Linked DNA regions of Canis lupus familiaris. The protein of the gene in region 1 interacts with the protein of each later gene in a pairwise test. Links are inferred from orthologs where the notes say so. Each region holds a gene or a part of one and is shown on either strand. Other genes may lie near its edges. The genes, in order: BEND7, LYAR and MFAP1.

Region 1 (4,161 bases):
CCTGCCTGGGCCATTTCTTCCCCAAGAGTCAGCAGCAGAGCCCCCGAGCACCCACTGACTGACGTCGCGGCCCTCACTCCTTCCACCCTCTCCACGCCCCCCGCCCCCCCGCCCCGCGTTCCAAGTTGTCTCCTTGAAGAGAACTCCAGATCTTTCGACAACCCCTTTTGTATTGAGGTAAAGAAGCCTCGAAGCTCACTCTCCTCACCAGTAAATTCTCCAATCTCTCCGTTTCCTGGCAGAGCGCGGAGAGGGGTAAGTTGTGTGCGTGTGTGCGCGTGTGTGCCTGTGTGTGTTTCCTAAAAACTTGCGTAAAGCCCGCTGAGCGCGGCCCCTCCGACATCCCGGATCTCCAGGCAAGGAGTGGGCTGGCCTGGGTCCCCCGACACCCGGCACGACGCCTCCCTGAGCCCGGCCCCGGGGAGCGGCGGCGAGAGGCAGGCGAGCTCGGGGTCGGGAGCCGCCCCCCCCCCTCCCCGGCGGCAGCAGCGGCGGCGGAGGCGCCCGGGTCACCCCCACCGCCCGCGGCCCCCGGCCCGACCCCCGCAGTCCCCGCCGGGAGGCCGGCCCGGCCGAGGGCGCTGCGCCGCGGCCTCCGGCTCCTCCGCGGGGCGCCGCGCGGCCAGGCCGGTGGGTGGCGGCGGCCCGGGCCCCCGGGGATGGCGGCGGCCGCGCTCCGCCAGCAGGTGGCCCCGGGGTCCCGGCGGCGCCGCCTCCTCCCCGGCGCCCCTCCTCCCGCGGGGGCGGTCAGCGCCCCGACCCGGCTCGCACCCCGCCGCCGCCGCCCTCGGCCCGCCCGCCGCGTCCCCGGGGCCGCGCTCGCCGCCGCCGCCGCCGCCGCCCGCCGCCGCCGCCGCGTCCGGAGCAGCGCCCAGGCCGGCCCGCCCGCCCGCAGCACCCGGCCCGCCGCGCCGCGCCCTCCCCGCCCCCAACTCGCTCCCCCGCGGAAAGTTCGGCTCGGGCGGCGGCGGCCCGGGGACCCGGCAAGCGAAGGGGCCGGGGGCCGTGCTGACGGGACCGGGCGGCGGCGGCGGCGGCGGCGGCGGCGGCGCGGCGGGGGCAACTTCTGCCGCCGGCCCCGCGAGCCGCAGCCCCCGGGCGCGCTCGAGGTGGTTCTGCCCTCGCCCTCGCCTCCCCCTGCGGATCCAGGGCACGGACCTTGGTCCTGGCGCTCCCGCTGCCGGGTGACAAGAGCCGCCGCCGCCGCCTCAGCCGCCTCAGCCGCCGCCGCCGCCTCAGCCGCCTCAGCCGCCTCACCGCCCCCCGGCCGCAGCCCCTGCCTCCCGCCTCCCGCCTCCCGCCTCCCGCCTCCCGCCTCCCGCCAGCACCATGGAGTTCTCCGAGAGGAAGAGGAGCAGGAAATCGCAGAGCTTCAAACTGGTGAGCCGAGGTAAGCGGCGGGCCGCCGGGCCGGGCGGGGGGCGTGCGGGCGGCGCGCGGGGAGGACTCGGCGCCGCGGAAACACCCCCGCGGCCCGCGCCCCGCGCCCCGCGGGGGGGCCGCGGTGTGGGGGCGACGGGGGCGCTTCCGGGACCCCCGGGTCCCCTCCCGCGGGGGCGGCGCGGGGGCGGCGCGGGGGGGCGCACACGCCGCGCGGCGGGGAAAGTTGTGCAGGGGGCGGGGGGAGGCAGGATGTTATTCAGCGTAAACAAGTCGGAGGGCACCTCAGGAAATTAGCGAACAATGACACTTGGGGAGCCGAGAGCCTTCTGTGGTATTGCACTCCGCGGCCGGGGGTGGGGGTGCGGTGGGGGCGGGGGGCGCGCGCTGCCTCTCCCCCGCAGGCCGTGCACGCTCGGATCCCGACCCCGGCTTGGGGGCTGGCCTCCCCCCCGCCCTCCTCACACATGCACACACCCCCCTCACGAAAACAGAAGCAAAAGCAAAAAAAAAAAAAAAGAAAAAGAAAAAGGTGGTGGTTCTTTCAAGCACCAGAAAGCAGCTCATTAGGTGAAGGTGTAGGAGCCCAGACGAGAGCGGTTGACCTCTGGCATCTTCGCTATAGATACGTTCCGGGGGTTGGGGGGGGAGGGGCGGTGGGAAGGTGTATCGGAAGGGATCGCTTGTCGGTCACAAAAGTATCCCGATTAAAAAAAAAAAAAAAAAAAAAAAAAGATTCCAGCCGGTTCCTGACGATTTAACAGGTGTATGCCGCTCGCCGTCTTCGGGCTTGGGTCTCTCACAGGGAGGGCCGGGGAAAGTTGAATCTCGCCCTGTCCTGTGTTCAGTTACTTGTCAGGTCTCTCTTTTCCTGATTGGACTTTGTCAAAGATGATGAGAACTTGACATAAGAGCAGACATTAAAATAGGGCTATTAAAATGGCTTTGTGTTACCTTAAATTACAGGCAGGTGACTTTCTACCCCCCCCCCCCCCCATCCTCATGTCACAAGTCCTGATACCGAGTTTTGGAACCGCCTCGTTTAAATATCTTCTTTGAATCAACTTGAGGTCAGAACCAAACCCCAGAATTTGTCCCCTTTCCCTCTGTGCTTCTATCTAGCACTGGCCTCAGAGTAGAGGGAGAGCAGGAACCTGGAGAAGCCCCGTGCGAGCTGATGAAAATTAGAGGGTGATTTCCAAGTAATAGGGCTTTTCAAGCTAAGCTGAGCTAACTGTGATGTAGATTCAGTAAAGTCTGCTCTCCGCTGGTCTGAAGGTGGTTGTATAGACATTTATTTCCAAGATCGGCTCAGATCTGTTTCCCCTGTTTTAGTTTGGATACTGTTTAATGAAAGAGGCCTGAAATAGTCTCTACAAATTCAAAATATTTGGCTCTTCCTTCTCTCTGTGTGTGGATTGCTCAGTCATTTGTACTTTTAAAAATCTCTCCGTATGTGACTGGCCGGTGGGTCTATTGATTCATTCAGGAATGTAGGCTGCTTTCTTATTTATGACCTCTCAGACAACTTACTACTTTATCTGAAAAGTGAGAAGTTTTGTAGACCTTGACCTGTTAGGTCTCAAGCCACAAAAAGGGGAATAGCTGTTAAGAAGGAACCTCTATTTTCTTCCTAGACGATCCTACCTTTTAGAAATAGATCATTGGCAAGCCCAGTAGCCTCCGTAGAGAAGAAAAACGCTTGTAAAGTACTGCATTTTAAAGTTTGACTGACATAGCAAGTTTTTCATTTTCCTCTTTTTTTTTTTTCTTTGAATTATGGGTCTGATTCTTCTCTCTGCTCTGCAGGTGCATTTTTAGCAAATAAACTATTGCATATTAAAGTGCAGTAGCTGAATGCAAAAAGACTGTGTGAATGACGAGAATCTTGCTTTCTTATCTAGACTATACTATATTTGAAATAACAAATCAGTAATTTTCATGTGTGCTTTCCTGTAAGCTGCTTAAAGGCTGGAATTTTTCTGGATAAACTGAGAAAACTGAGCATCAGGTTACCCGAAAGCATGCTATTGATAGACTGTACTCATGGAAGTGGGTTGTGGAGATAATTTTGGAATCGTCCCCTGGCCTATGATTGGGCAAGGTTTTTCTTTCCCTTATAAACATACTTGTCATTTGAAAGCAAAGAGGCCTAGTAATTGGCATCTCTGGGCCAAATTTACTGTGAAAACCCATGTGATCAGCAAGGCTGTTTTCTAAAGTCAAAGTAATATTTCAAGTTTGTATACTTCCTCAGAGTAAGCAAAGTTTTAGAGATTATTAGTGACTACAAATTCAGTGATTAACCGAGTTCTTGGAAATTTATAGTTTAAAGTATAGATTATACATCTTATATGTAATGAGAGTCTAGTCTTGTTTTTTCGTATCTTGCAGCTCATTAGAATTTTAATTTTTGGTTGTTTTCTCATCCCAGATTATCACCATGAGGTATATAAGATCTCAGAATTCAGCAACAATGTTAATGGGGAGGCCGAAGAGACACAACCTATTTACTTAGGTAGGTTCCTATGTCAATTAATTTCTTAGCAAAACAGCGTGGCCGTTTGCAATTAGGGGGAAGGGAAAGAGAAAAAAAAAAAAAAAAGATTGTGCCAGAACGGGAAATGTCTGCCATTGCTTAATATATGACATTCTTTTCAAGACCTTTTATTTTACAGATTGCCAATATATCCCTTATTAACATTGCTAAAAGTTGTAATTTCAGACATAAATGTTTATTAGTGTCTACACACAGTGCTAATTATCACTCACTCCCAGAGC
Region 2 (4,076 bases), on another chromosome or scaffold:
CCTCTGTCTTTCCCGCGTTGGCCTCCCCGAGATGAGTCCCTTTCTTGCTTCATCACCACCCGTCTCTCGGCCTTTGAGTTTTGTCAGCCTCTGTCTCGGGCCCCAGGGCCACGTGCTCTGGCACCCTCGTGCCCCGGACTCCGGGGAGACGAGAACGCCGCTGTCCTGGAGATACCAAGTGAGGGAAATCCAAATTAACTTGGAGGAGGAAGGTCAGGGAAGACTTCTTGAGGAAGAGACATGTGAGCCGAGTGAAGGCTGAAAGCTTGAGCTACAGAGACAGGCTCGAGAGAGGCCCCCTCCTGGGGATTTCCTGGGGGAGCACATGGAAACAGACGCGCAGGGCCCAAGCGCCTCAAGCATCCTGCTCTTGAAACCTCCAGGCCACGCTGTCAGTCACTTCTGTTGGAACAACGTTTTCTTCCCGGCCCGTTCCGGTGAATCCCTTCTGTGATGGCCTGAATCCTGCCCCCCGCCTCCCCCCCCCAGGGCCCTGCGGACGTCCCGGCGAGAAGGGCGGGTGCGGGCCCGGCGCGGCGCGGGGGATGCCCCAGTGCAAACCCCGCCGGAGGCCGCCGCCGGGCCCCCGCCTCCGCAGCCGCCGGAAAACCGCCGTCGGCGGGCCGGGCAGACCCACGCAGGGCCCTTCAGGCGCAGCCCCCCCCCCCCACCCCCGCCGCCGCCCCCGCCCCGGGATCACCCTCCTCCCGGCGCCGACCCCGACCCCGACCGCGCGGCGTCCCTGCGGCCGCGGCACGCGCGCTCGGCTCCACGGGACCTGGGCCGCCGCGGGCCCGGGCGCTGCCCCCGACCGAGGCCGCCGCCCCCGGAGGCCGAGGGCCCGCCCGGGGCGGGGCGGGGCGGGGGGAGCCCGGGACCGCAGCCGGCCGCCGCGCGACCCTCAGGCTGCCCGGGGCGGGAGTGGCGGCGGCGGCGGCCCCGGCCTAGGCCGGCTCCCTGCGCCGCGCCCTCGCGAGGCCGGCCTTCCCGCCAGACGGCACCTACCGGAGAGGCCGCTCCCCGCCCCGCCGCCGCCGCCGCCGCCGCCTCTCCGCCAGCCGCCGCCTCTCCGCCAGCCGCCCTCAGCGCCGCTCGCCGGGCGCCGCCGGCCGCGGAACCATCCCGACAACGCCCCCTCGGCCGGCCGGATCCGCCTCCGGCTTCCGGGGACGTCACTTCCGCCGGGACGGCGCAGGCGCGGGGGGGCGCCCGGAGGGAGGCGGCTGCGGCGCGGGACGGGCGGCTGCGTCTCCACGTGCTCCTCGCGGCGGGTTGAAACCGTTGGCGGGCGCCGGCGGAGAGGTGAGGGGCGGCGCCGCGGGAGGCTGGGGCTGGGCGGGCGGTGGGCTGGCGCCGGCGTTTCCACCGCTGGACCCCTCCTGGGGCTTTCCCCGCGGAAGGACGAGGCGGGCCGTCCCGTGGCCTTCGTCCCGCGGGCGGCGAAGAGCCTGGTCGGAGGCGGGACGGTCCTCGCGCAGGGTCCCCGCGGGGCTGGGCTGCGGCCGGCTGCGAGGCGGGCCAGCTCGCGCTCCCCGAGGCCTGGGGGGCTGCGTCCCTCCGGGGCGGCCTGGACCGACGGAGGGCGCCCCGGCCGCCGCCCGCGACTCAGGTCTGCCCCTAGCTCCGCGGGTGACCTGCGAGTTACTCCTCCTGTGCCGCCGTTTGTCGGTCTACGAAGGGGCGAACACAGAACCCGAGATCTGCTGCGAGGATTGCACGCGCGCAGACCTGTTGGCCACCCAGGACGGGGCTGCCTGCAGCACCTGCTTCCGGGGAGACTGGGGAACGGCGTGGGGGGTACTTGCACGGCTGACCTCCCTGCGGAGGGCTCCTTGGGACTCACCCAGCACCCCCAGGCCCAGAGCCTAGCACAGCGCGTCTGACCCGCGCTAGACTTGCACGGATACCGATACACCCAAGGGATGCTGGTGATGTAGTTCTGGGGAGGCGGGGGGACATGGCTCCACTGGCCCCGCCTCGGTGCGCCCATCTGTTGGGTGGACATAGATGTACCTGCCTCACAGGGTGAGTGCACATGGGGAGCCTCGTCACCCCGCAGGCTGAGGCCACATGGGAGGCAGTGTGTACTCCTCTGTCCTTCCCTTGCGCCATACCCTTCGTGTCTTGGAATTCCACCCCTGGAAGGGGCTCCTGGCACCTCGCTTCACAGATGGGAGGACCCGAAGCTAAGAGGGGACAGTGACTTGTTGGAGGTCGTGGGGCTCACTGGGAATTGCGCTGTGGTTGCCAGCCTGCCCCCCCCCCCCCCCCCCCACCTCACAGGTGGGCTGTTTGAGGTTTAGGTCTGCGCCTACATGCCTGTGCGAGAATGTTTAAAGAATAGGGAGTGTAGTGTTTGCAGAAATAAACAATATAAAAATGTAAAGGCAGGAAGGTTTAAAAAGAACTCTAGAACCCAATTCTAGAACTAAATATGAGGCCCTTGTATCAGGTAACAGGGTGGTGGAGTGGGCAAATTAATAGGTCATAGGAAATACTTTCTACTGTTGGGTAAGGATGAATCTTTCCTATTTCTTATCTTCCACACAAAGCTCTTAAGATAGATTTTGGACCCATTTTATAGATGAACAGAATCTGGGAAGTTAGGATAGCTTGAGGTCATTTTTCATTGGTAGATGCTGGCTCCAGCTCAGATCTCTGGCCCTGAGTCAACAACATTCAACCAAACAGGGCCACCATCCTGGTAAGAGGACCCCTGAGGTGTCCCAAGTCCCTCATAAGTTCCCAGCCCCTTGTTATTGCTGCCTGCTCCCCTCAACTCAGACTCATTTTCTGACACCTGACCTCAGTTGTGACAAGGATGGTATCTCTGCTCGGTGTAAAATGGAAGGTCACTGTAGAGCCTTTGCTGTTTTTGCTCTTTTTTTTTTTTTTTAGTTTTTCTTTTGGGATGAGGGCCTCCGGCTTCTGCTCACTGAGTAGTGGCCAAGCAAACGGCGAAAAACATGACAAGTCAAGAGAGAGGAGCAGGGCAGGAGCTTGTCTCAGGCTACCTCTGCCACTCCCTATGTCTCCAGCCTAATCACTTAACCTCTCTGAGCCTCCACTATTTCTTACAGATGCTGGGGTGGTAATGTGATCATACCTGTTGTAGAGGTGTTGGGTGCAATTCTGACTATTAGTATGAAGTGGCTTTATGGAGAGCTAGCGATCGTGTTCTGTAACTCATCATCTTTTTCTTGGCTTGTAGCATGTGCTGAGAAGATCATAAGGTGAACGGACAGTCAGAAGCTCACACAGGGACTGGCCTCCTTTGGGGAAGGCACCCGGGTGCATGTGGATCCCAGTGCACACTCGGCATTGACCAGAGGTCTGCCGAAATGAATCACAGTGACTTAACTGGAGTGAAAACTTGAGTATGCTTTTGACTAGTCCACGAACACTGCTTTCTCTTTTCATGGGTCCCCATCTCTAGATGGAAGAGCACACAGAATCTCTGTGGCTGGGCAACCCCCGTGGCTCAGCGGTTTAGCGCCACCTTCAGCCCAGGGTGTGATCCTGGAGTTCTGGGATGAGTCCCGTGTCGGGCTCCCTGCATGGGAGCCTGCTTCTCCCTCAGCCTGTGTCTCTGCCTCTCTCTCTCTCTCTCTCTCCATCTCTCATGAATAAATAAAATCTTTAAAAAAATCTCTGTGGCTATCCTGAGCCAGGAAAGGAAAAGGGGATCTTTATTTAGCCCAATGAAGCATGCCATCATGTCTTTACACGGTGGGCTAAAAGTTGAAATATGTAATATCTGAGCCCTGTGGATAGGGTATCATAACGTCTTAATGCAACTGGCTTTCAGCTTTCCAAATTGCCAAAAGTATAAATGTTACACATTTACCAAAAACATCCATTTGAAAGTTTAAGGTTCTTTCACATTTACTTAGTTTTGTGAGATTTGTGGAAGTTTAAATTTTTAAGGCAGTGCTTGCCCTCTTCCCTTAGAGGGACTGAATTTTCAGAAGGCATCTTTTTGTAAGTTTGTAACATTTACACTTCTGCAGTCTTAAGCCTGCTAAGACTTGGGCCACCTTGTCCAATGTGCAGTTAGGTGGTTCGGAGCTTGCTGT
Region 3 (3,644 bases), on another chromosome or scaffold:
TGAAAAACAGCATCTTCAAGTATAACACCAATGTCACAAAAGTGAAAGAGCATTACCCACATTTCCTTAGTCTTAGAGCACCTGGAGGTTGTTTGCCTTTATTAATAGTGAAGTCTTGAGAGAGGGAAACTGAGGGACAGAAAAACGAAAATAATTCATGGGGCACTTGGGTGGCTCAGTGGTTGATTGTCTGCTTTTGATTCAGCTTATGATCTCAGGGTCCTGGGATCGAGTCCTGCAACAGGCTCCCCACAGAGCCTGCTTCTCCCTCTGCCTATGTCTCTGCCTCTCTCCGTGTCTCTCAGGAATAAATAAAATCTTAAAAAAAAATCAAAGCATGAGAGCAAATAGTTAGGTTGGACCTAAAATGTTCAATGTAAGCTGAAACACCATGAGGCACTGCAACAAACATATGGGTGCAACGGGATTGTTTTATAGCTCCAGGTAGTTCACAGTTTCAACATTAGATCATACTAGGTTTCTTTTCAGTGATATTGTATCTTTGTGAAACTGGATTTTTGGTACCTGCTATATAAAAAGCAAGTACATGCAGATCAACATGGGACAGGATATGTGTGCCAGTGTCAATCTGATTTCAAGGTCTGAGAAACAGTGTCCAAGAGGCACACAAACCCCCACTAATAATTATAGTTATATAAGAATGAAATAAAAATGTTTTTTCTTTTATGCATATTAGATTTTTCAAATGGCTTCAAATGTTAAGACATTAATATTTATTCAATTATTTGGATCTACTTAATAAAATAAAGTAGACCTAGGGACTCCTTGAGAAAATTCCTGAGACTGAATGAACTGTGAAAGTTTGGGATCTCTGGTCTGCACTCTAAGGTAATGTCTCAACATACAACATGAAATCCTTCATTGGGAAGCTCCCTTTCCTACGTGAATCCATTCACTCATCATCAGGCCTTTTATCCTACTTCTTCAGTGTAATTTCCCCTCATTAGCCTTTAGGATAAATGAGTGGATTAAATCAATTTCTCTAATTTTAAGACCTCCTCCTCCCAACAAACCAACCAATGGTCTGTGTTTTCTATTCCTTTAGTTAACTAGGGCCTTTGGACCAGAGGTCCTGCTGTTTACTGGTTGCCACTTGCTGGCTGTATACCTTTGGTCATCTTATTCTCCTGACCCTTTGTGCCTTAGTTTCCTCATTTGTAAACTGGGATAATAATACATACCTCATAAGGTTATTGGCTGGATTACAAGAATTACTAAAGGTAGTTAGAATAGTGACTGGCATATAATGAGTACTGTTCAAGTATTAGCTATTATTGTTGTTGTTATTAACTAACCTGTAGGGGTATAGGTGTAAGGAAACAACCCTAGTCATTACCTCTCTTCCACATCTTCACTAATACGGTTCTGCAAACGCCGCAGTCGAGGGTCGCTGGATGAATCCTCCTCTTGTTCCTCAGGCTCTGCTTCTTGTTCTTTGGCTTTCTTAATGAACTGAAATTCTTCATCCTCCTCATCTGAGGACTCCATAGGGGCATAATCTGGCCTCTTTCCCGACACATAACGTTTTACCTTCACTTTCTCCATCGAAATCTCACCTGGGTGATAAACATAACTTATGTTTCAGTAGCCTCTTTCCCAATGTCCTTTGCAGGTAGAGCCCTATATTCCTGGTAAACAAGAGTTCAAGCAGAAGGAGATTGCCACTATCCAGCCCTCTACTTATCTAATGGTGTTTTCCTGTCAAGGCCAAGTCATGGGAAAACATTCTTGCGAATACCAACACTAATGATAAAGAGGGCTAACTTGAGTATACTGAAATGGAGGAAGACAGGCTGACTACATCCGTCACAAATTCATGCTATTCCACCTCACCTATACCCTTAAGAGTATAAATAAATAAGGGTATGAATAAATAAAGATCTTAAAAAAAAGATATAACAATCATTATGCTTAATGACAAATTGGAAGCATTCCTTTAAAAACCAGTGGGCATCTTTATGTTGTCCCTATCATACCTTCTAGTCAACATTTTATTATGATTCTAATTAGGGCAATAAGAAAAAGAGATAGGAGTGCCTAGGTAGCTCAGTCAGTTAAGTGCCTTCGGCTGAGGTCATGATCTCAGGGTCCTGGGATCAAGCCCTGCATTGGGCTCCCTGCTCTAGGGAGTCTGCTGCTCCCTCTCCATCTCGCTCATTCTCTCTCTCAAAATAAATAAAATCCTTTTTTTTCTTTTAAGATTTTATTTATTTATTCATGAGAGACACACAGAGAGAAAGGCTGAGACACAGGAAGACGGAGAAACAGGCTCCATGCAGGGAGCCGATGTGGGATTGGATACCGGGTCTCTGGGATCACGCCCTGAGCTAAAGGCAGACGTGTAACCGCTGAGCCACCAAATAAATAAAATCCCAAATAAATAAAATCTTAAAAAAAAGAGATAAAAGGTAATGATTGAAAAGGAAGAAACTGTCATAATTTGCAGACTATGATTATATGCAGAAAATACAAGAGAACAAACAGGCAAACTAAAAAAAAGAATTCAGGGAGAATGCCAAATAAATGCTGGATAAAAATAAGTGTACCTGTACATTATCTACATAAATTAGAAAATAAAGTTTAAAAATACTATTTACAATAGTAACTAAACTACAAGATACCAAGGAATAAATTTAACAAATGACGTACAAGGCTTTTCAGATGAAAAATATATAATTATATTGGAAGATACAAAAGTTCTAAATAAAGAGAGAAATATGTCATATTTAAGAAAGAGAAGATGGCAACCGTGCCCAAGTTAATCAATAAATTCATGACCTATAATTTTAAGGCAATTCCATTAATAGTTGTTCCCAGGCTGATTCTAAAAATCACATGGAAGAATAGGACAAAAGAACCAAGACAATTCTGAAGAATAAGGTGAGGCTGAGGACTTAACACACCTCACCAAAGAAGATACACAGATGGCAAATAAACATATTCGTTTCAAGTCATATGTTGTCAAGGAAATGCAAAATAAAATGAGATACTACTGCATATGCATTAGAATAACCGAACTACGGAGCTCTGACAACACTAAATGCTGGAGAGAATGTGGAATAACAAGATCTCATTTGTTACTGGTGGGAATGCAAAATGGCACAGCCACTTTGGAGGACAGTTTGGTGGTCTCTTATAAAAGTAAGCATACTCATACTATATGATCCAGTAACTGCACTCCTTGGTGTTTACCTAACGGTGTTGAAAACTAAAGTCCACACAAAAACTTGCACACTGATTATTTATTTTAGCTTTAGCTTCATAACTGCCAAAACTTGGAAGGAACCAAGATGTTCCTTGCTAGATGACTGAATAAACTATGGTATATTTAGATGATGGAATATTATTCAGTGCTAAACAGAAATGAGCTATCAAGCCATAATAAAACATAGATGAAATCTACAGACATATTACTAAGTGAAAGAAGCCAATCTGAAAAAGTTATATACCGTATGATTCCAAATACATGACATTCTGGAAAAGGCAAAACTATGAAGACAGTAAAAAGATCAGTGGTTGCCAAGGGTTGGGTTGGGGTAGGGATGAATAGGCAGGGCACAGGGGATTCTCAGGGCAGTAAAAATACTGTGATACCACAATAATGGATATACGTCATTATATAT

What was found.
Region 2: the proteins of BEND7 (region 1) and LYAR interact in binary tests that used the Homo sapiens proteins (3 or more experiments, as listed by UniProt). The two-hybrid records come from large-scale screens. The link is inferred for Canis lupus familiaris from reciprocal best matches to the Homo sapiens genes BEND7 and LYAR.
Region 3: the proteins of BEND7 (region 1) and MFAP1 interact in binary tests that used the Homo sapiens proteins (3 or more experiments, as listed by UniProt). The two-hybrid records come from large-scale screens. The link is inferred for Canis lupus familiaris from reciprocal best matches to the Homo sapiens genes BEND7 and MFAP1.

Annotation. Positions count from the first base shown.
Region 1 is NC_049223.1:21,943,809-21,947,969, forward strand, and holds the start of BEND7 (BEN domain-containing protein 7), read left to right. Parts: upstream 1-1,297; 5' UTR 1,298-1,329; coding exon 1,330-1,390; intron 1,391-1,925; exon of another isoform or gene 1,926-1,950; intron 1,951-3,814; coding exon 3,815-3,898; intron 3,899-4,161.
Region 2 is NC_049224.1:70,304,374-70,308,449, reverse strand, and holds the start of LYAR (cell growth-regulating nucleolar protein), read left to right. Parts: upstream 1-1,171; 5' UTR 1,172-1,302; intron 1,303-4,076. Other genes in the region: ZBTB49 (zinc finger and BTB domain-containing protein 49), read right to left, coding at 1-53. UniProt on the Homo sapiens protein: Plays a role in the maintenance of the appropriate processing of 47S/45S pre-rRNA to 32S/30S pre-rRNAs and their subsequent processing to produce 18S and 28S rRNAs. Also acts at the level of transcription regulation.
Region 3 is NC_049251.1:10,840,247-10,843,890, forward strand, and holds part of MFAP1 (microfibrillar-associated protein 1), read right to left. Parts: intron 1,578-3,644; coding exon 1,358-1,577; intron 1-1,357. UniProt on the Homo sapiens protein: Involved in pre-mRNA splicing as a component of the spliceosome.